Linked DNA regions of Diceros bicornis minor. The protein of the gene in region 1 purifies or fractionates together with the protein of each later gene. This does not show direct contact. Links are inferred from orthologs where the notes say so. Each region holds a gene or a part of one and is shown on either strand. Other genes may lie near its edges.

Region 1 (9,993 bases):
GTCTACATTTTGCTTTAGAGAGGGCCACCTTACATAGAACACACTAGGAATGGTGCCCCCAGGAGTTGTGTAACTCTGTGGTCATGAAGTATAATAACTAGAAAGAGACCCAGAGCTCATGTATTTCCTAGCTATTTTGAATATTTACAACTTTCAGGTTGTAAGAACATTATGCCTCTTCCTTTGCATATACTGTTTCCTTTGCCTATAATAACACTTTCCCATCTTTCAACTTATAAATTGCTACTAACTTCTTTCAGACTTCCATCTGGCCTAAGTTGGCTGCCCCATAGTATTCTATGCAAACCTCTCTCAGAGGCCTTACCACAACGCACTACCATGATCAGTTTATATATCTATATCTCACACTAAACTGTGAGCTCCTTGAGGGCAGGAGCTATGATTTTTCTATCATGGCATGCCAGTACATAACATAGCACCTGAATTATAGCAGCCATTTAATATTCCCATTGTGCTAAAAAAATAAAAACTTAGAAGTTGAGAAATCAAGAGACAACAGGTATACTTCACCTGAAATGTTAAATTCAAAAATAAAGTCAGGAACATTGTTGAGAGAGAATGTTTCCACATTCTTGCCTGAAAAACTGATGTTCTTCTCTGATTTTGCAACATGCACATACAGCAGTAACCAAATCAGCACTATTTAAGTGCTCAAAGTATATTACATTTTTTCCCCCTTAACCCCTTATCATCTATTGTTTATCATCTTTCTGTATTAACTGCAACCTTCTTTCCTCCCCAGGGAATCCCAGAGCAGAGCAAGGAGGGGACAGGCGTACCCTCCAATCTAAGTCCAGATGGTCAATTGTACTAGAGAAACTTCCAACACTGCGACTCTCTATCCTTTACTACCAAAGCAAAATTCTGGGTATTTACAACTGATAGTTGGGTAAACTATTTCTATCTATTAATTGTGTATCTGACTACATTACAGAATTAAACATAGTTTTAGAAGTGTTGGGCCTCCTCCAATAACAAGTTCAAGAGACTATTTTAAGTCTCTAAACTTAACCCATTCTAACAGAAACTGAAAAGATAACATTCCCATTTTACTGATAGGAAAAGCGTAATCTAAAAAAAATTAAATGACTCAAGACATAATTGTGTCACACAGACTTGGTTCCTTTGGGTCTACAAATTGGACAGCACCCCCAAAAGAACCATTTTGAAAGACCTGACACTTCTGCAGTCACTCTGCATTTTACCAGATTCTGTCATCTACAACCAGGCAACAGACCAGTTTCCACATTGACTAGCACAGTGATATGATGACCAGGGAGTTGATGTGAGGCACAGTCAAAAAGAAGGAAGGCTTTTACCTTGGGAACTCTGGCTCAGCCGGGCTGAGGAGCGGGTGACTCGGGCAGATCGCCGGGATGTGCCATCGCTCTCTGAACTATCTGTGTGCTCAAGATCTGTAGAAAAATCGGAATCTTCGGTTCCATCTGAACTACTGCCTGCATTCCTCTGTAACACCATAGATCCAGACATTAGCACAGAAGCATTTACTCTGTGGGTTTGTATTAACACTGGAAATAAAACCAACCATGATGCTGAAAACACCAAGTTCAAACCTAAGAAAGGACTCCACAGCCAACTTCCCTTTATTGAGAGCACTTAAATGGAGAAACCTACAAATAATGCCCCTTTATTGAATAAATGAAGAAAGAGAATTAATTCTTACTATATTATCACTAGAAGAAAGAGAATTAATTCTTACTATATTATCACTAACTCTGAAACAAGTCCATTTGAAGGTCAGTACCACAAACTGGAAATAAAATTATCTAACTCAAAATAGTCTGGCTGGCATAACCATGCACTTAGAGAAAGTCCAAGGTAGTGACACAAATGTTAATGCTAGACTCCATTTAACTTTAGGGTAGCTTTTGTTCAAAATCTCCATAAACAGCTATCACATTTTAAAAAACCATACACTAACTCAAAATATCACGGTCCACAATTCTGATCACAAAAGAACTTAAGCAGAAAAAGAGTAAAATTCTTTCTTATGTTATCTACCTTTAAGTTTCTCCATATGAATGCTTTAAAAAAAAAAAAAGGCAGCTTACACATGAAGACTCATAGGTATTCAAAAACAGAGGGTTCTTTTATTATCTTTTTAATTAATAATTATTTGTTAATTATTAGCCTCCTGAGACATATTTAGCCATAAAGATAACTTTTATCAATTGAGCATTAACACTATACTCTTTACTAAACCAGAATAGGAAGAGTATTTGCTAAAAAAACAATACAAAGCTTCAAACTACAAGTCCCCTATTCTTTATCCAAAAACACTTAGGGCCAGTTGTGTTTAGAATTCATAATTTTTTAGATTTTTCAAAGGGAACACTTTGCATATAGCCTTCAAATAACACCCCCTTACTTAACTTATTAACTCAAGCTTATTAACATTTCTGCAGCAAGATATAAAAGCAATCACACTAAATGAGACACACAAAAATTATAAGTAGCCTCAGGACAGTTTAGAACAGGTTTTGCCACCAAATAAATTACTAAAAAAACTTACATCTTCAAGAGCTCTTTGTATTTGGGAATTGCAGAAAGGGGACTATGGACCTATTCCAAGGCACCAATACTATTCCTGCATTTGGTAAGCCTTAATATAAATACCACCTACTGATGCAGTCATTTTAAGAAACATTAAAAAGTGTAAATATTTTTTTTGAAAACCTCTGGGAAGAGAAAGATTTCTGCAAAAATGAGCGAGAATACCACCCAGCTTTCCAAATGGCAAGAGTAATCTGCCCAGAAATGAGTGGAGGCCCCAGAAAAAGTCACAGATAGTTGATAGGATGAAGGAGACGTCTTAAAGGTGGTCTAGTCCAATTACCCAGACATTTGAATCCCTGATCATCTCTGACCATCCCTTCCAGGCCTGACTCTGGAACTCAGCTCTTCTCTCAGGCTTTCACCAATCTACTTCCCATCTTACTCCAGAGCAGACAATTGCTCCCTCACTTCCCTCCCATAACGCTTTGTATATATACTTCCAAATAGAAAATTTACTAGATCCTTCTACAGCCATTTATATGTCTGTTTTCTCCATCAGACTGTGATTTCCTTAAGCCAGGGATCAAATCGAATTAATTTTTGAATCCCCAGCAACCAGCACGTAGCAAGTAGTCAATAAACATTCGTCGAACTGAATTAGATTTGTTCTGTAGTCCTGGCTCTGCCATTGCCTAATTGAGCGGCTTGAGGTAATCCATTAGGCCTCTGTTCAGCTGCAAAGAGAAGGGATGGGGGTGTCCCTAGGTGATCTCGTAAGTCTCATCTAATTCTAGAAAGTTTCTGATTTTACGAACTGCATTTTCTAGGCGCTGTCCAACTAGGCAAATAAGGAAAAATTATGGCTTAAAGGCAACAGGCCAGAGTGGGATCCCCTGGGAGTGGGCGCTGGTTCTCTACCACCCACTCCTCCGCTTTGTTGTACCCCCCGCCCGGAAAGGAAGGATGCTCCGAAACCCCGCCTCTCCACCGATTAGCTTCACCAGCCGGAAGGGCCGGGATTCGCGCCACCAATCGGGGTCCCGCTAAACCGCGCCCCCACGGGACAGATTGCCAAGGGCAGCCAATTAAGAGAGGAGGGATCGTTCTCCACAGCCAATCCGAGCGCGGTAGGGCCGGGCCAGACACTGCCCCCGCACGCGGGGAGGTGACCGTTGGGCCCAAATGGGCGGTGTCATCAGCCAATCAATGTTCTTCCACACGTTGCAGCGACCAATTAACAAGAAGAACGCCTCCGAGCCAGGCAAGCAGAGGGCGGGAATAGTTGCAGGCATAGGCCGAGGCCAGGGTCGGGCCCACATTTTTCCGTTGGGTACCGACAGAAAAGAGGGTTGCTGAGCTAGGTTCCGGGGAGCGGGAAGTTGGAGCCCAGCCAGTGTGAGGCGTGGCTAACTGCGTCACGTTGCTCAATCGACCGTCCTTAGAAACCCGCCATCCCTCCCGTCCTGTTCCTCTCACCTTCCTTCGCGGCATTGCCGGCGGCTGCGGCCCGACGGTTCCGATTCGGGCAGCGGCGGCAGCAGCAGTAGGAACGGTGGCTCCGGCGGGCTCCGTGGCGGCCTCTGTAGCAGTCCCAATCCTGCGGACGATCCCAAGTGCCTCCTGCTTCACAGCGTCTAAACCCTTCCGCGCAGGCGCCGCGGGCTGAGGCGCTTTTTCCTTCACTTCCGGTTGGGGCTCGCGTCACCTGACGTTACTGGCTAGAGAGGGTGCTGGGAGGTTTAGTTCCTTCCATTGAGGCCAGTGAGCGCCATTTTGGAATGGGGCAAAAAGTGGCACCGATAGAAGAAACCCGGGCCAGCCATTTTTAGTTAGGGGAATGGCTCTCTTTGTGGGCGTGGGTAGCCGTTCTTGTTTGGGGCAGAAGCCTGATAGTTGAAGCTAACGGTTCTCATCTTTATCTTGGGCAAAAGTCCCCTTCCCGGTCGTTTTAATTCTGAAGTCGAGAAAGGAAACCCCCAGAATCCATCAGGTTGCTGAGATTTAACCCATTCGTTGCCTAATTGGCTAAAGGACGTCTCCGTTTAGCATATAAACTCAAACTTGGGAAGGGATACTTTGCTCAAGAAACTGTATTTTAAGAGCTGGCCTGTGTCTCAAAGTGGTGGGAATGGGGGCTCGTAAAAGGAACGAAGGGGTAGCGTCCATCATCAGGAAGTTTCTTGCCTGGTAGAGGAGACATTGTCCTTGCCATTAGCGAACAGCGAGTAAGTTAGTCTTTCACGTTGCAGGAGGAGGCAAGATCCTTCTCCAGAAGCGGTATGGGTTTGAGAGCCCTGGGTGGCCCGCGGGGGTGGGGGTGGGTGTTGTACCAGAGTTAGAGAAGCATTGAACTCCGTTTAGCCCAAGTGACCTCGGGAAATCCAGATGCTTGAACTAGGAGTTGGGGGAGGGAAGAAGAGGAAGGAGTATTTTTAGTGAAGCTGGAGCTAAAAAAAAAAAAAAAAAAAAAAAACAGGCATGGATAGGGCCTGCTTTGAGAGGACCTAGGAAGGAGAAGTTGGTCAAGGAAACAAGACTGGAAGAAGAGCCATAAGCAAAAGCTGGGAAGTGGAGAGCAGGCGTTGAGGATTTTGTCTCGCTGCAGGAAAAGCCTTGAGAGGACCAAAGCTTGGCCAAAAGTGACTGGGTGGAATCCAGGCAAGCTCAGTCATTAAGTTAGGATCCAGTCATTAAGTTAGGATCCTGGACCCCAGATTCACCTGAGGCCCGCTAAGATGGAGATTTCCCCCTGGAGCAGAACTAAAGAACAAAGCAGCAGAAGGTAAACATCTGATTGATATGCTAAACAGAGGACTCTGAAGAGTTAAAGTTCCAGACTCATCGCCAGCACTCTCCTTGGGGATATTCTGGGCCGGTGTTAACACAAGCAGCTTTTAGTATTTAGTATTTAGCTTTTAGTGTTTAGTATAAATAGCTTCGAATAACCTACTCAGGTAGAACTGCACATAAGAACTTATTTGACAAGGGCTCACATTTCTTCTTTTGTATTCGTTCAGCACTTAAGCATTTAATTTCACACTATTACTGTTATTTTGCACTTACTGGTGTATTCCTGAGGTCACTCTTGGATGTTCTGGCCCCCTGACTAGTGGGAAGGAGCTCTTGTGTTAAGAGCATACATGAGTTCTTTCATACCATCCTTAATAGTGCTCAGACCATGCCCTAACCACAGTAAATGCTTGCTTGTTAATCAGAATATGTTTACGGGTTCACAGTCTCTGAATGTATAGTACTCAAAGATGGTGAAGTATCCCTCCCTGGAAATTAGTATTTTAGAATAAGATCTTATCCTGACTTAACCATTCATCATACACATACCAGCATTACAAATGTTCAACATTGGTTAATCTCTTACATTGGATTTTCAAACACTGCAGCTAACACTAAAAGAGTTTACAGTTTCTTTTAGACGTGGTTCTTATCCTTGGAAAGTGTACACTCTGGCGGAAAGATGAAAAAACTAACACCAATAGGAAAGAAATATGATCATAAGGAAAATGTGTACTTAAGATGAAAGTAAAACAGCTAGGTATATTTAGAATGGGGAAGGAGGAATCCTAAAAGCTTTTTTCTTTCTTCTTTTTTTTGAGCAAGATTGGCCCTGAGCTAACATCTGTTGCCAGTCTTCCTCCTTTTTTTTTCTCCCCAAAGCCCCACTACGTAGTTGTAGGTCCTTCTAGTTTTTCTATGTGGGATGCTGCCTCAGCATGGTTTAGTTGAGCGGTGAGTAGGTCTGTGCCTGGGATCAGAACCCGCAAACCCCAGGCCGCTGAAGCACAACACATGAATTTAACTGCTATGCCACCGGGCCGGCCCCATTCCTTTCTCTTTTTTGAACCAAACATAACCTTTACTTTGGGTGTCATATTCATCGTAACACAATTAGCTCTGGAAGCAGAAATTGATGTTGGTGTCAAAGCCTTTGACCAGTTGCCCCCCTGCCCATCCTCACCCGCCAGACTTCACATAGGTAGCTCCGCTGTTCTTCCCGCCTTGACGCTTTCACACAGGCTTTTCTTCCTGCCTGGGTGCATCTCCCAACCTTCGTTAAAATTTACTTTCTTCAGAAAATCTTTCCTGATTTATTCTTTCTAAGGTAGTAGGGCATAATGATATGTTATTTTGTACTTCCTGCCGTATTTATACTTTTCCTTGTATAATTTGGTAGATGTTCTGCTCCCCTCTCTCCTTCCCAAATGAATAATAGGAACGTAACTCTTATTTATTTCACTCATCAGCTCTAATAGTGTCAAGTACAGGGCTTTGATGTCAGATCTCGATTTGAATTTCAGCTCTGCCACTTTTTATCTGCATTGCTCTTGGATGTGTTTTTCAATTTATCTGGGCCTCAGTTTTCTCATATGTGAAGTGGAGACACTAATAGCCCCCTCACAGTGTTGTTGTCAGGATTAAAGGCGATGATCATTGTAAAGCGCTTAGCACAGTTCCTGACAGAGTAAATGTTCAGTAAATGGCCGTTGTTATTGATATTTATAATTTCAATCCCCCTGGCCATGGCTATAACATCTTAATGTTTGTGAATATATCTTTACATAGTCTCAATGGTGGTTTGCTTTTGTGTGTTCAACCTCACTTCAGCTCAAGAGACACAGAGTGATTAGCCAGGCCTTATATACCAGGCATCGAGTGACACTAGTATGCACAAAACATCGTGTTTCCCCAGGCCAGTAAGCTTGTTGTTGTAAAACGCTGTAAAGTATTAATGGGAAAACAGAAGGAAGAGCAAGGTTCAGAAGTGATACAGAGGAGGAAGTGGAGTGTTTTGTCTGGAAGGTTTAGGGAAGGATTCATAGAAGAGGTGAAATAAGAGTGGAATTTCATAGGACAAATAAGTTTGCTGGTGGACAAGGAGGATAGGGGCTTTCCACGCAAAGGGAACAGCACATACAGATGTGGAGCGGCATCGTGTATGGGGGGTGACTAATGGCATGGTGGAGTTCGGGTGGTTGCCAAAAGAAGAGACAGGAATGGTTTAGGGAACCAGTTCATGCTGAGACTTGAATACCCTGCTAAGGAGCCTGGGCTGGAGGTGATGAGGAATCTCTGAGGGACTTTAAGCAGAGGAGTCCCATGATCGGACTTGCACTTTAGAGATTTCTTTCTGGAAGCTGTGAGGGGGACTGATCAGAGTGGCAGGGAGATGGGTTAGAACACTGCAGTAATAACCTCACCCAGAGCTGAGGAGGAACTGAACAGGGGAGGGGTAGTGGGAGCAATCTTTTGTGTGTGTCCTTGTGCATTTTCTTTCTTGTATTTGTATCTTGTCTTCTCAGTTACATTTGTAAGCTCACTAAAAGATGCCTCCATTTCCTTTAAAATGCTCCCCTTGCCAGCAAAATGATAGATATTCAAATACAAAGTGTAGTTTTTTGTTGTTTGCTTCAAAGACCTGAGAGCTCCTAGAGGTTGGGAGCCTTGCCTGGCTGACCACACCATCTCCAGCTTCTCCCTTGCTGCCTAGCATCTAAAAGGGCTCAGTAGCGGGGCAGCCTGGTGGCTCAGCAGTTAGTTCGCGTGTTCCACTTTGGCGGCCCGGAGTTCACCAGTTTGGATCCTGGGCGCGGACCTACTCACCGCTCATCAAGCCTTGCTGAGGCGGCATCCCACATAGAAGAACTAGCAGGACCTACAACTAGGATATACAACTATGTACTGGGGCGTTGGGGGATTTAAAAAGAGAGAGAGAGGGGAAGATTTGCAACAGATGTTAGCTCAGGGCTAAGCTTCCTCAAAAAAAAGGGGGGGGGGCTCAGTAAATGGGATGGCCACCGCCAGGTGTTGGCTCAGTTAGGAAAGACGTGCACAGAACCTGCCATCCTCTCTCCTCTAAGCCTCTTTTTGACCAGTGATGTCCCTAGGAGGGATTAGGGACAGCAGTTTCCTCTGTGTCCAGATACCTGTCCTGTAAGGTGGGGAAGTGTGCCTTGACCTTTTTAAAACAATGCTAGTGTAGCCAGGCCAATCTCATAACTTCCGGGTAAAAGCTTAGGCCTAGTCTCTATCCCTGTGGGAGAATCTCAGAGGTTGCTGATAAGACCATAATTCGTATTAAAATCTTTTCATTTACATCCGCCTTAAATATAGAGTCAGCACAGTCACTAATGGTCCCTCCTTTCTTACTCTTGCCTGAGATAGCCTGGATCTTCTCTTACCTTCTTAGCCACTTTTTTTTTTTTAAATCTTATTTATTTATATACTTTCCCCCCAAAGCCCCAGTAGATAGTTGTATGTCATAGCTGCACATCCTTCTAGTTGCTGTATCTGGGACGCAGCCTCAGCATGACTGGAGAGGCGGTGCGTCGGTGCACGCCTGGGATCCGAACCCGGGCCGCCAGCAGCGGAGCGCGCACACTTAACCACTAAGCCGCGGGGCCGGCCCTTAGCCACTTGTTAATTTGGTTCTTGTATCACCCTTATCCACCACCCACCCCCAGCAGGAAGGGTATTGGGGGAAGGTATTGGACAGATCCCAGCAGGCTCAGGCACAGCTCCCTGCCTCTGCAGCTGGGGTTATAAATAACCACAAAAACTAAACAAATAACCACATTTTGAAAATTGCTAAAAAAAATTACTCTGATCTTGATTTAATAGCAGTTCTTCTCCCACTCCTGCCCTTCATCTCCTCCCTTCCTCCCCTTATCTACCTCCCCTCGCTGATCCAAGCTCCCTAGGGAAGTCAATCTGAGCACAAAGCCATCGTATGATGAAGACATCCTTTTCCATATTTGACAGGGCCTAAGCCCTCCAGGGCTGTAGTTATAGTTACACGATGTTGTTATGGCAGCAAAGGCCTCAGGGCAACATATGTTCCTGGGTGGTAATCGGGTTTGCTTTAACAGACTGTCTCCCTGGGTTCTCCATGCCCAAATTCACTTATCAAGAAGACCAGGGAATTGCCATTATGGATGGGCTTTCATTTTTTTATTCCAGCAAAACCAAATTCCTCTTTATTCCCCAGGATGGAATGTACCCAGTGATCATGGGTTGAGACTTTTTAGACTGCAGGCATTTTCATTTATTCATTCAACAAATATTTATTGAGCATCTGATAAGTGCTAGGCATCGGGCTGGGAGCCGAGTGCACACTATGAGTAAACAGATGTGGTCCTTTCCTTCCTAGAGCTGATGATTTAGGATAAGTGTGTACCGGAGGGGGCTGAAGGAGTGTAACTTTCACCTGCCCCAACCCCTTCCACCTTTTCAAAAATTATTAACCCAGTGTAATAACACTAAATAAGTTTTTGAGAAAATAAGAGACATCCTTAATCTCACTGCTGCCGCAAAGCTATTTTTATTTTTTGCATATTGCCTTCCAATTTTTCTCCACATGCATACATTTTATTATATGTGTACAATTTTGTATAGATGCAGTCATTGTTGACATGAAATTTCATATTTTTCACAGTCTCAACA
Region 2 (10,511 bases), on another chromosome or scaffold:
TACTAGTTTGTGAGCTATATCTGGTTTTTTCACTCTTTTATTGATTAATCTAAAAATTACAACAGGTATTCTTTTTTATCAATTTAATTGTGGTACAATTTATGTAAAATAAACTACAGCTATTCAATAGTTCGATGACTTTTAACAAATGTTTCTCCACCACTATGATCAGCTTATAGAATGTTTCCATCACTCCCAAAAGTTCTCTCATCCCGTTAGAGTCAGTGCTCTCCTCCACCTCCAGGCAGCCACCAATCTGCTTTCTGTCACTATAGATTAGTCTGCATTTTCAAGAATTTCATATAAATGGAATCATACTTGATGTTACAACAGGTATTTTTGACTAATCAAAGGCTAGATTAATCCTTGAACTTTACTCTTTCCCTAGACAATGCAAGGACCTTAAAACACTTTAATCCTGGAATTCTCTAGTATCCTCTAATCCATCGCTTCTTAACTTTAATATGCATATTGTAGTAGTCAGAGTTCTCCAAAGAAATGGAAGCAACAGGAGATAGATAGGTAGGTAGGTAGGTAGATAGATAGATAGATAGATATAATGAGGATATTATAGGAATTGATTCAAGCAATTACGGAGGCCAAGAAGTCCCACAATCTGTCACCTGCAAGCTGGAGAACCAGGAAAGCCAGTGATATAATTCAGTCCAAGTCCAAAGGCCTGGGAACCAGGAGCACCAATGTCCACGGGCAGGAGAAGATGATGGATGAACTCAAGCAGAGAGCAAATTCGACCTTTCCTTACCTTTTTGCCCTGTTCAGGCCCTCAAGGGATTTGATGATGCCCACCCACACTGGTTAAGGTGATCTTTACTCAGCCTATGGATTCAAACGCTAATCTCTTCCAGAAACACCCTCACAGATACACTCAGAAATAATGTTTTACCACCTATCTGGGCAACTCTTAGCCCAGCCAAGTTGACACAAAAAAATTAACCATCACACATATGAATCACTTACGGGGATCTTGTTAAAATGCAGGTTCTGGTTAAATAGATGCTATTATTTTTGTGTATTTTCTCTCTCTTTAGTAAAATTACACCAAGTAGATGGCTATTTGCAGGGTCGGCTCTTTTGCTAAAATATGGAAATAATTTATATTTTATGGTGTCCTGACGTCCCTCATGATTGCGTTTAAGATTTAATAGAAACGTTAATTAAAGGTTGAAATGAAAAGACATTAAATCAGGTTGAACAATTTACACTTGCCACAAACTATTTACTTTCAGGCTTGTGCTGTAGCATTCCACTGAGTATACAGTAAAATGTTCTAGCTAGAATTCAGTCCAAAGAGGATAACGCAAGACATACTAGATGGATGATTTAAACCATATTGGACCATACTCTCTTGCCTGACTATATCTTAAAGCATGGAACTATTCAAGTCATTTCCCTGTTCCAAAAATCACAGGGGACTACTGCCCTTTCACATCCAGTCCCCCACCTAACAGCCTCCATGCTCTGACTTTTACCTTTCCAGCCTTTTCTCTTGCATCTCCCATTTTTGGGTCAAATGTGGTAACCCACTGTTCCCCGAATCAATCTTACGGTGTTCCACCTTTCTCTGCTCATGCTAGTGCTCAGCCTGGACCACACTCCCTCTACCATCCTCCTAGTTGACGCTCAACCCAAGCTTTAAGGTGGAGCTCAAATGGCACCTTCTTCACGGAGCCTTCTCTCTTCTCTAAACTCTCACGCCATTTTGCTTGCATCTCTGTTGAGGTGCTTATCTGCTGTTGTATGTTTCAGTTATTAAATACTTGCTTTATTCCTGTGATTAGATTTTAAGTGCCTTCAAGTCTGAGAGCATAGCCTTTTCACCTATGTAGACTTCACAGGTGTAAAATAGAACCTTACCTGCAGCTCAGAAATAATTATTGAATGAATATGTATTTTAGTGTAAACAAAAGAGGCTCCATTTCCTCAATCCTCGGGTGTTCAGATGCACAGAAGCTCCTGAGTAACCCTTTGCCGTCTCTTAATTTGCAATAATTGTACTAGCATTCTAAAAACCTCCTAAATTTGAACTTACATTCATGTTTGATCTTCTCCTTTGTCCCTATGTCCAATCAGTCATCAAACTGTTGATATGTCTTCTGATTTTACCCCTTCTTTCCCTCCTCTTTCTCTACCATCTCTTCCATCATTCTGGTTAATGCCCTTTTATTTTCATAATGCCTAATTACCTATAGCGAATTCTTCCTGGTTTACCTAATACTGTTCCTGCTCTAGTTTATCCTATACATAATGGGGACCATAATAACAGTAATTTCACAGAGTTAATAAATGGATAAATGAGATGTGGCATACATATTGGACCTATTTTGTACATGTGCCCACTATATCTTTGGAGAATCACCTCTTGCCCACGTCCTCTGGTTCTAGTAGTAGACAATGACCAGACCTAATCAGAGTATCATGTCTTTCTGGCACAGCTATCAGCTCAGGTTGGCTGGAGATCACAAGAGACAGTGTCCTGATGACATAATTTGAGTCTCTTGACTTTACCTTGTCTAAAGCCAGATGCACCCCTGGACTTTCTGGGTTTTAGAGTCAATAGATTTCCTTTATTAATTAAACTAATTTGAGTTCATTTTCCAATGCAATGAAGATTTCTGATAAATACAGTATGTAAAGCACTAAGCAGAGTACCTTGCACTAAGGTACTATTTTATTGTCCTTATACCCGTGCCATACCTCATATCCAATTCAACTTTTTCTTTCTTAACATCTGCCCATACACACCAGCTAGGATAATTTCCTTATTATTCCCTGGCTGGGCTGCCCTGTGAACAACCTAATAATGTCATTCCAGTCTTTTCATCAATCCACATCCATCACTATTTAGAATCTGGCTAAAAGAAGCCTCCCATCCTCCATTTGAATAATGGTTGGCTCCACACTGTTAGCTGCCTTATCTAATTTCTCCTGCACATATTTTCTGGTTATTTCTAGCTTGCTTCTTGATTGTACACTACTCAAGGCAAGGAAAAATATATTTTATGTTTACATACGATCACTGGGTCCTTTCTAGGTCAAGGTTTAGTCATTATTTTCCAAAGCAACTTGTACAGTTTTGGACACAAAACCTATTGATTGGTGTTCAATAAGTGTCTGTTACAGGAATAAATGAATGGAATTAAATTTAGAGGGTGTGGAATTCAATTTAAAGCCTGCTGTTAGCCTAAACTTTTCCCTTTTTCTAAGCAAACTTTATATTCTTAAACCATTTTCATTACAGCATAAAAATATCACAGTGATTCCAACCTCCAACATTCTTCCCATTTATGGTTTCAGAATTCTTTTAGCTAAGGTCTAAGGAAGGAATATTCTATTAAAAATAATCTAACAATCAATCAAAGCCTATTTTCTTCTTATCATACATATTTTATTAATTCAGTGGGTATTGCATCTGACCCTTGAGTTTTCTTGCCTTAGTAAACTAATGATAGTAGTAAAGCATTAACAAAGATATCCTGAGATGTAAAAAAAAAAATTGGGGGGAAACTTTTTGTATTCATGTTTCCTCTTTTAGTTCTAAATGGTAAACATTCTCCTACTCCAAATAAGCTAGTTTCTACTTAGAAATGCAGGATTTAAAAAAACTACTATTTGGAATCAAAGGTCTGTGCCTCTGTTTGTTGAATTTAGTTGCTGTAGGGTTTAATGGAAAGGCCAAGGGCTGGTGAATCTAAATTCTTTAAAGTAGCTAAAAATTAAAGTGAATTAAAGTTAGTCCCTCTGGGATTTTTCATACATGTTCCAAATTCGTTTTTAATGACATAATTGTCCCATGTTACATTTAAGATTACATCATAGTGAACTGGTTATATGTGCAGTTACACTAAGAGAAACCAATTCCAAACGTCAAAAACAAAAGTGAGGACAACTATAATGTTACCATTAAGAGAGAGGAAATTGAAAATAGAAGAGAAACACTTAAGTTGAATAAGGTCTTACTATGAAAGCTTTGAATAGAAAAACCTGGAAATCATATGTATTAGGTTAACTTAATGCATTTTCAACAGCATTTAAATCATTATTTTATTCACTGTTACAAGTGGAAACCAATGCATTTTCTCAAGGTATTTATTCATAATTTTAGTGGAAAAAGATATCTCCCAATCACACAAATGGGAATTGTGCTTAATAAATTTTGAGAACATCCATCAAGAAATAAAAGTTACTTGTCATATGTATAAATGGTTAGATTTCACGTTTTAAAAGAACAAGAAATGAAATTCAGTATTCTTGTTTCTTTTAATCTTCAGTGGTTTTTGTTTTTTTTTTTTTTCCTTAACTAAAGTAATCGTAATATTCTCTTGCCTCTAGGGCTTTCTCTTCCACAATTAATCACTTTTTCTTCCACACTTTCCCTCCAAATGATTATTCCCCCTAGCCTTACAACACTTGACATTAATTCACACTATTTCATCTTCACAGCTTTCAAAACATTGCCTGCCCTTGCTTAGCTCCACAAGCCACTCCTTTTTCTTTTAAAAGTCGGTTACCAGAAGTAATTTTACTATCACTTTGGCAGAAGGTGCTACCATGTAATCAGAAAAAAAATCTTTGTAATACAAATTAGCTTCCTGACTTTTATCAACCTTTCAAATTCGAAACACAATATATTTAAATTCCTTAAGATATTGAACACCTATACTTCAAAAGTAGCAGTACTTTCAATTTAAACATTTGGAAGACTTGGACTCTAAGACTTTATCTTTCATCCTCTGACTCTAGAATCCGTGTCCTTGATCATCAGAACCGAGCAAGAAATTGTGAGTCTCACCAAGCTCCACCCCCAGCGCGGGCAGAGGAAACGCTTTCAAAATATGTCATTCATCTTCACATTTAAAGGCAGTCTATCCCTACATCCTTTATAAACATCACTAAATATTGGTGCTTAAGACTTCAGTCATATGAGGTAAGTTTCCCAATTTATAGGCAAAAGGGGGGTGGCAAGGGAGACCTCTTCTCTTCTTAAATTTATCAAAACAAAAGTGGTCTGATTACATCTCCAACTCTGAAGTTGCCATTTGTCAAGCATCTTTTAGAAAGCCGCTTATTGTATTAAATTAGCCGACTCCTAGCCAAATCAGGTTTAAGGAGTGTTTCCCACGTCTACAGTGACAAACGAGTTACCAGACGTCCTTAAATAGACTGTCAAACTTTTATGTTTACTCTCTTTAAACGAAGGGAGAGGATGGCACACAACGAAAAGTCAGGTCTGTTTCTTAAGAAGGATGTCTTGTAGGGAACCAGACGCTCACCTGTACAAAACAGAGGCAGGTCTTTCCGGGCTGTCCTCACTGGGGGAGGGGATGGACATTGCTAGACCTTTGTCCTCCGGACCTGAGCACCGGGTGAAGGGTGGGCGGCTTTCTGGGGGTAGTGCAGGCACCTGCACCCCAAGAAACTACAGACCGGTTTTGATTTCAACGACTGTCTTGGCTTAACCTTTGGAGGGGTCCTCTAGCTCGGGGAGGGGGTTTGCTGCCCCAGACCTTAGCCACCTCCTCCGCAGGGATAAGGGGAGTGGACGACCGACCACCCTAAAGAGTTAGGTACCCCCATCTTTCCCAACTAGACCCGAACGTCCCCAGCTCTCTTGCTGGGCTCGCCCCCGCGGCGGGCTGGGCCGGGGTGAGCCGGGGCCGCGGCGGGCAGACCCCGTCTCCGCTCGGCGCCCCTGCCGCGTCCGCACCGCCACCGTGAGGCCGAGCAGGGGACGGTGCCCCGTGGCGGCGGCGGCTCCGCGCTCCTCTCCGCGCCGCCCCGGCCGCCGGCGCGCCGGGCACAGGCGGGGGGATTTTTTTCCCGTTTCCCCCTCTTTCGCGCTCTCGCTCCTGTTCGGCGGGAGAGCCCGCGGAGCCAGGGAGGGAGCGAGGGAAGGGGTGGAGGTGGCGGGGGGAGGCCGGAGGGGCGGATCCTGCCTGGGGGCTGATCCCTCCCTCCCCTCGGCCGGGCTCCGTGGCGGCAGCGGCGGCGGCGGCGGCTCCATTCCCCCTCCTCCCCCGGGAGCGGCGGCGGCGGCCGGGCCGGGGCCCCAACGCGGGCCGGGAGGGGGCACGGCGGTGGCCGCGGAGCCCAGCGCGGGAGGAGGCCGCTCTCCGCTCCCCGGGCCGCGCGGACCTGCTCGACGGCCGGCCCGCCCGCGCCCAGGGGCCCCGAACGGTGGGGCCGGGCCGGCGGCTGAGGTAATGGGGGCGGCTGCGGGGCCGGCCAGAGCGGGGGCGGGGGCAGCGGGGCCTACGGGGACCAGGGACTGCGTTCGGGGGAGGGAAGCGGGGTCTTCCCGAGCGGGGTGGGGGTGGTGCGAAAGCTCTCTCCTGGCGCGAGGGCGGCGGCGGGGAAGGAGAAGGCGGGTGAGGGGGGGAGCTGAAAAGCGAGGACCCCCTCCCGCAGCCGCCATCTTGTTTTCCTGCCCCCGGCCCTGGAAGCGGAGCTGTCGAGCCCCGCCCCCGCCACGCTCTCTAATTGGTCAGGCCCGAGGAGAGTTACACCCTCTGAACGGTTTTTGGTCCCCCGGTTCCTCCTGACGGGCAGGTGAGGGGGCCAATGGGCGCTCGCCTCTCTGCCCCGCTCGGTCGCTGGCGCTAGCTTTCTCTGTGTGAGGGTCGGACGCAGCGTCAGTCTGTCTCTGGCGCGCTCGCCCCCTCCCCTGTGGGGAGGTGATGTTATTTCCCTCCTTTCTCCTCCGAAGGGTGAAGATTCTTCTGGAAGAGGTGCCCCTTTAAAGGGGCAGGAACCTGGGCTGAGGTCCTCCCTTGGCTCAAGAGTATCTCCTGTGGGGTGCAGGGGGCTACAGTCTAATTGCAGAAACTCCTCATTCTTCGGGGACGTGGGTGGGGTGGGGGAGTGGGGGCTCAGGGGGTGCCTAGGAGAACTCTGGGGGTCTTGGAGATATTTGGAGGTGTGTGTGTGTGGGAAGGGCTGTGTGGGATGAGAAACTCCCGCCAAAAATCTAGACTGGAAGCTCCTTGTGGGCGAAACTCACGTTATTTTCCTCAGCAGCAGCGCTTTCCCCTCTAGAGTTTGTGCCCAGTGTCCAGAGTCTTGGAGAGGTCTCAGTAGATACTTGCTGCTTGGTTGAGAGATACCCGAGCTGTGAGAAGGCAACAGGTAGGGAGGAAGAATATATGGTGGCTTTAACAAAAGAGGGGCCACACCCTCTCTCTCAACTATTTCAAGTTAGTGTGTTTTGAGGTCGCTTTTCACAGCTCTGCAAGGGTCTCCATGCCCTTGAGAGGGTGGGGGCAGTAAAGCAGGTCTGTTGGCTTGGGCTGCCCCGAGGGAGTTGGCATTTGTAAGGCATGTAGTGGCCAAGGGCCTCTGGATCCTGGACAGAATTGCTGTGATGATTCTGTTTCCTTTGGCTCCAAATGGGGTGTGTGCCTGCCTGGCACTGTTCCTCAGCCAAGTCTTTTGTTTGGTTGTATGTTTCAGTCACACTTTGGGATTGGAAGGCCTTTTAAATAAGGATGTTAATAATACCTTATTAACAAATAGCAACCCTTAAGAGGTAGCTTTTATTCATTTCATTTTATTGATGGAGTATGGAGGCACAAGAGAGATTAAGTGACTTTCTCCAGGTCACACAGGACCAAGATTAGAACCTAGATTGCCCCAGAGCCTCTTGTTGTACCAGACCATGGTATCTCTGTGGCGTTCTTACCTCACTGATGTGAGTTGAGCAAATCAGAAGATCTGGGTTGAATTGTAGTTTCATCACTTACTAGCTTTGGGTTGAGTGCCAGCTTTCTGAGCTTCTGTTTCTTCATCTGTAAAATGGAGATAATATCATTCTGCCTCCCAAGCTAGTTGTGAGAAATATTACAAGTAAAAGGGCTTTGTAGTTTGTAAAAGTGTGCTCAATTATCATCACTATCTTTGCTTCATAAGGATGGTAGATCCCACAACCAAGGTGACAAAATGTTTTTCTCCTTGAAATCCTCTCCCTGTTCATACCCTTCCTAGTCTCTGCCCGCACCTCAGGGCACCATATCCCTAAAGACCTTTCCTGGTAGTGATGGCCTTAGTAACTGCCTACCATAGCTCCTTATGAGCTTGTCCAAGTTCCCTCCATCCAGAGAATGATGTGGGAAACTTTAGGGCTTTTTCTGCTGCACAAGGGTAGACTGATGTAAGTATTTTGGGAGAGAGGGACTTTTGAGGTAACAATGCATTGAGATTTTACCTCAGGTATTGCCCCAGTCACCTTGGCCTTAGGTCCAATGAGGGTCCCAGATAGGCAGCTTACAACTTCAGTGCCACTTGGGGTCGCTCCCAGAGCTTCCGGGGCTTCTGCATAGAGGTATATTAGCCAGTGCATCCTGAATGCTGCCTTTTGCAGAGAAAACCCTGCATGCTGTAGTTTGAAGTCCATAGACCACATGTGATAGACATTTCAGTTGCCTTCACTCCTTTACCCTGGGGGCATGGTCAGGGAATAGGATTTCTAATCATGATAAGATGGGTTGGGAGAGGGCTCTAGACCTGTGAATTTTTGATCCTCTGATGGGGCCACTGTTCATGTACAGAGCTTGAAAGTGGGTGCTGTTCTTGTTTTCTTCTTTTCTGAAGCCTTAACCACCCCCTTCTTTTCCATCGTTAGCTGTCCCACAGCCTTACGTACATCATTAGAACATTAGATCTCTCCCAGTGTCACATTGTAATGATCTGTTTACTTTTCTGTCCCTTCAATCAGACAGAGCTCCTAGAGGGCAGGGATCATGCGTGTTTGATTTCTTTCATTCAGCTTTAGGAGCTAGGCACCATTCCAGGTGCTGGGCATACAGCAGTACACAAGACAGGCAAAATTCCTCCCATCATGGAGCTTACATTCTAGTGGAAGGAAACAAACATACATGATAAATAGGTAAATTACATAGCACAGTAAAAAATGGTGAGTATTATAGTGAAAAATAAAGCAGAATGAAAGATTGCTGGTGGGGGAAGGGATTTGCAATTTTAGATAGAATTGTCAGAGAAGGTCTCACTGAGAAGCAGTGTTTGTGGAAAGACTTGAAGGAGGTGAAGGAGCAAGCCTTGTGGATGTCTGAGGGGCTGGATGTTTAGACAGAGGGCATAGACAGTCCCCTCGGTGGCCACTCGATCAGATGGAAGGGTGAATGAATACGTGCATGCCTGAACATCCAGCTCATGGTCTCCTGGCTTTGTTTCCTCAGGCCTGTCCCCTAGGTTCCCAGGTGCCATGAGGAAGCCGCGCCGGAAGTCGTCGCGGCAGACTGCCGAGGGCCGGCGCTCCCCGTCACCTTATAGTCTGAAGTGCTCACCCACCCGGGAGACCCTAACATATGCCCAGGCCCAGCGGATTGTCGAGGTGGACATCGATGGACGCCTGCATCGGATCAGCATCTATGACCCGCTCAAGATCATCACAGAAGATGAGCTGACTGCCCAGGATATCACCGAATGCAATAGTAACAAGGAAAACAGTGAGCAGCCTCAGTTTCCTGGCAAGTCCAAAAAACCCTCATCCAAAGGCAAGAAGAAGGAGTCCTGTTCCAAGCATGCGTCCGGCACTTCCTTCCACCTCCCGCAGCCCAGCTTCCGCATGGTGGACTCAGGCAGCCAGCCAGAAGCACCCCCGCTACCTGCTGCCTACTACCGCTACATTGAGAAGCCACCTGAAGACCTGGATGCAGAGGTAGAGTATGACATGGATGAGGAAGACCTTGCCTGGCTGGACATGGTGAATGAGAGGCGGCGAGTAGATGGGCACAGTTCAGTGTCTGCAGACACCTTCGAGCTGCTGGTGGACCGGCTTGAGAAGGAGTCGTACTTGGAGAGTCGCAGCAGCGGGGCCCAACAGTCTCTCATTGACGAAGATGCCTTTTGCTGTGTGTGCCTGGATGATGAATGCCACAACAGCAATGTCATTCTCTTCTGTGACATCTGCAACCTGGCTGTACACCAGGAGTGCTATGGCGTCCCCTACATCCCCGAGGGTCAGTGGTTATGCCGCTGTTGCCTGCAGTCTCCCTCCCGGCCTGTGGATTGTGTCCTCTGCCCCAATAAGGGTGGCGCCTTCAAACAGACCAGCGATGGGCACTGGGCCCATGTAGTATGTGCCATCTGGATCCCTGAAGTCTGCTTTGCTAACACCGTGTTCCTGGAGCCCATCGAGGGCATTGATAATATCCCACCTGCCCGCTGGAAACTAACCTGCTGTATCTGCAAGCAGAAGGGGCTGGGTGCTGCCATCCAGTGCCATAAGGTGAACTGCTACACAGCTTTCCATGTGACGTGTGCACAGCGGGCTGGGCTCTTCATGAAGATTGAGCCCATGCGTGAAACCAGCCTCAATGGCACCATCTTCACAGTGCGCAAGACCGCCTACTGTGAGGTCCACTCACCGCCAAGTGCTGCCACTGCTAGAAGGAAGGGCGACTCCCCTGGAAGCCTCGGTGAGGCTGGGGATGAGGAAGGGCTGAAGGAGGGCTGTGAGGAGGAGGAAGAGAAGGAAG

What was found.
Region 2: the proteins of KAT7 (region 1) and BRPF3 purify together in Homo sapiens (affinity purification with mass spectrometry; 3 studies listed by BioGRID and IntAct, counting the BioPlex papers as one, with this or other methods). This does not show direct contact. The link is inferred for Diceros bicornis minor from reciprocal best matches to the Homo sapiens genes KAT7 and BRPF3.

The regions. Positions count from the first base shown.
Region 1 is NC_080757.1:36,434,343-36,444,335, forward strand, and holds the start of KAT7 (histone acetyltransferase KAT7), read right to left. Parts: upstream 4,200-9,993; 5' UTR 4,030-4,199; coding exon 4,015-4,029; intron 1,489-4,014; coding exon 1,341-1,488; intron 1-1,340. UniProt on the Homo sapiens protein: Catalytic subunit of histone acetyltransferase HBO1 complexes, which specifically mediate acetylation of histone H3 at 'Lys-14' (H3K14ac), thereby regulating various processes, such as gene transcription, protein ubiquitination, immune regulation, stem cell pluripotent and self-renewal maintenance and embryonic development.
Region 2 is NC_080753.1:28,656,783-28,667,293, reverse strand, and holds the start of BRPF3 (bromodomain and PHD finger-containing protein 3), read left to right. Parts: upstream 1-6,048; 5' UTR 6,049-6,218; intron 6,219-6,969; exon of another isoform or gene 6,970-7,143; intron 7,144-9,209; 5' UTR 9,210-9,235; coding exon 9,236-10,511. UniProt on the Homo sapiens protein: Scaffold subunit of various histone acetyltransferase (HAT) complexes, such as the MOZ/MORF and HBO1 complexes, which have a histone H3 acetyltransferase activity.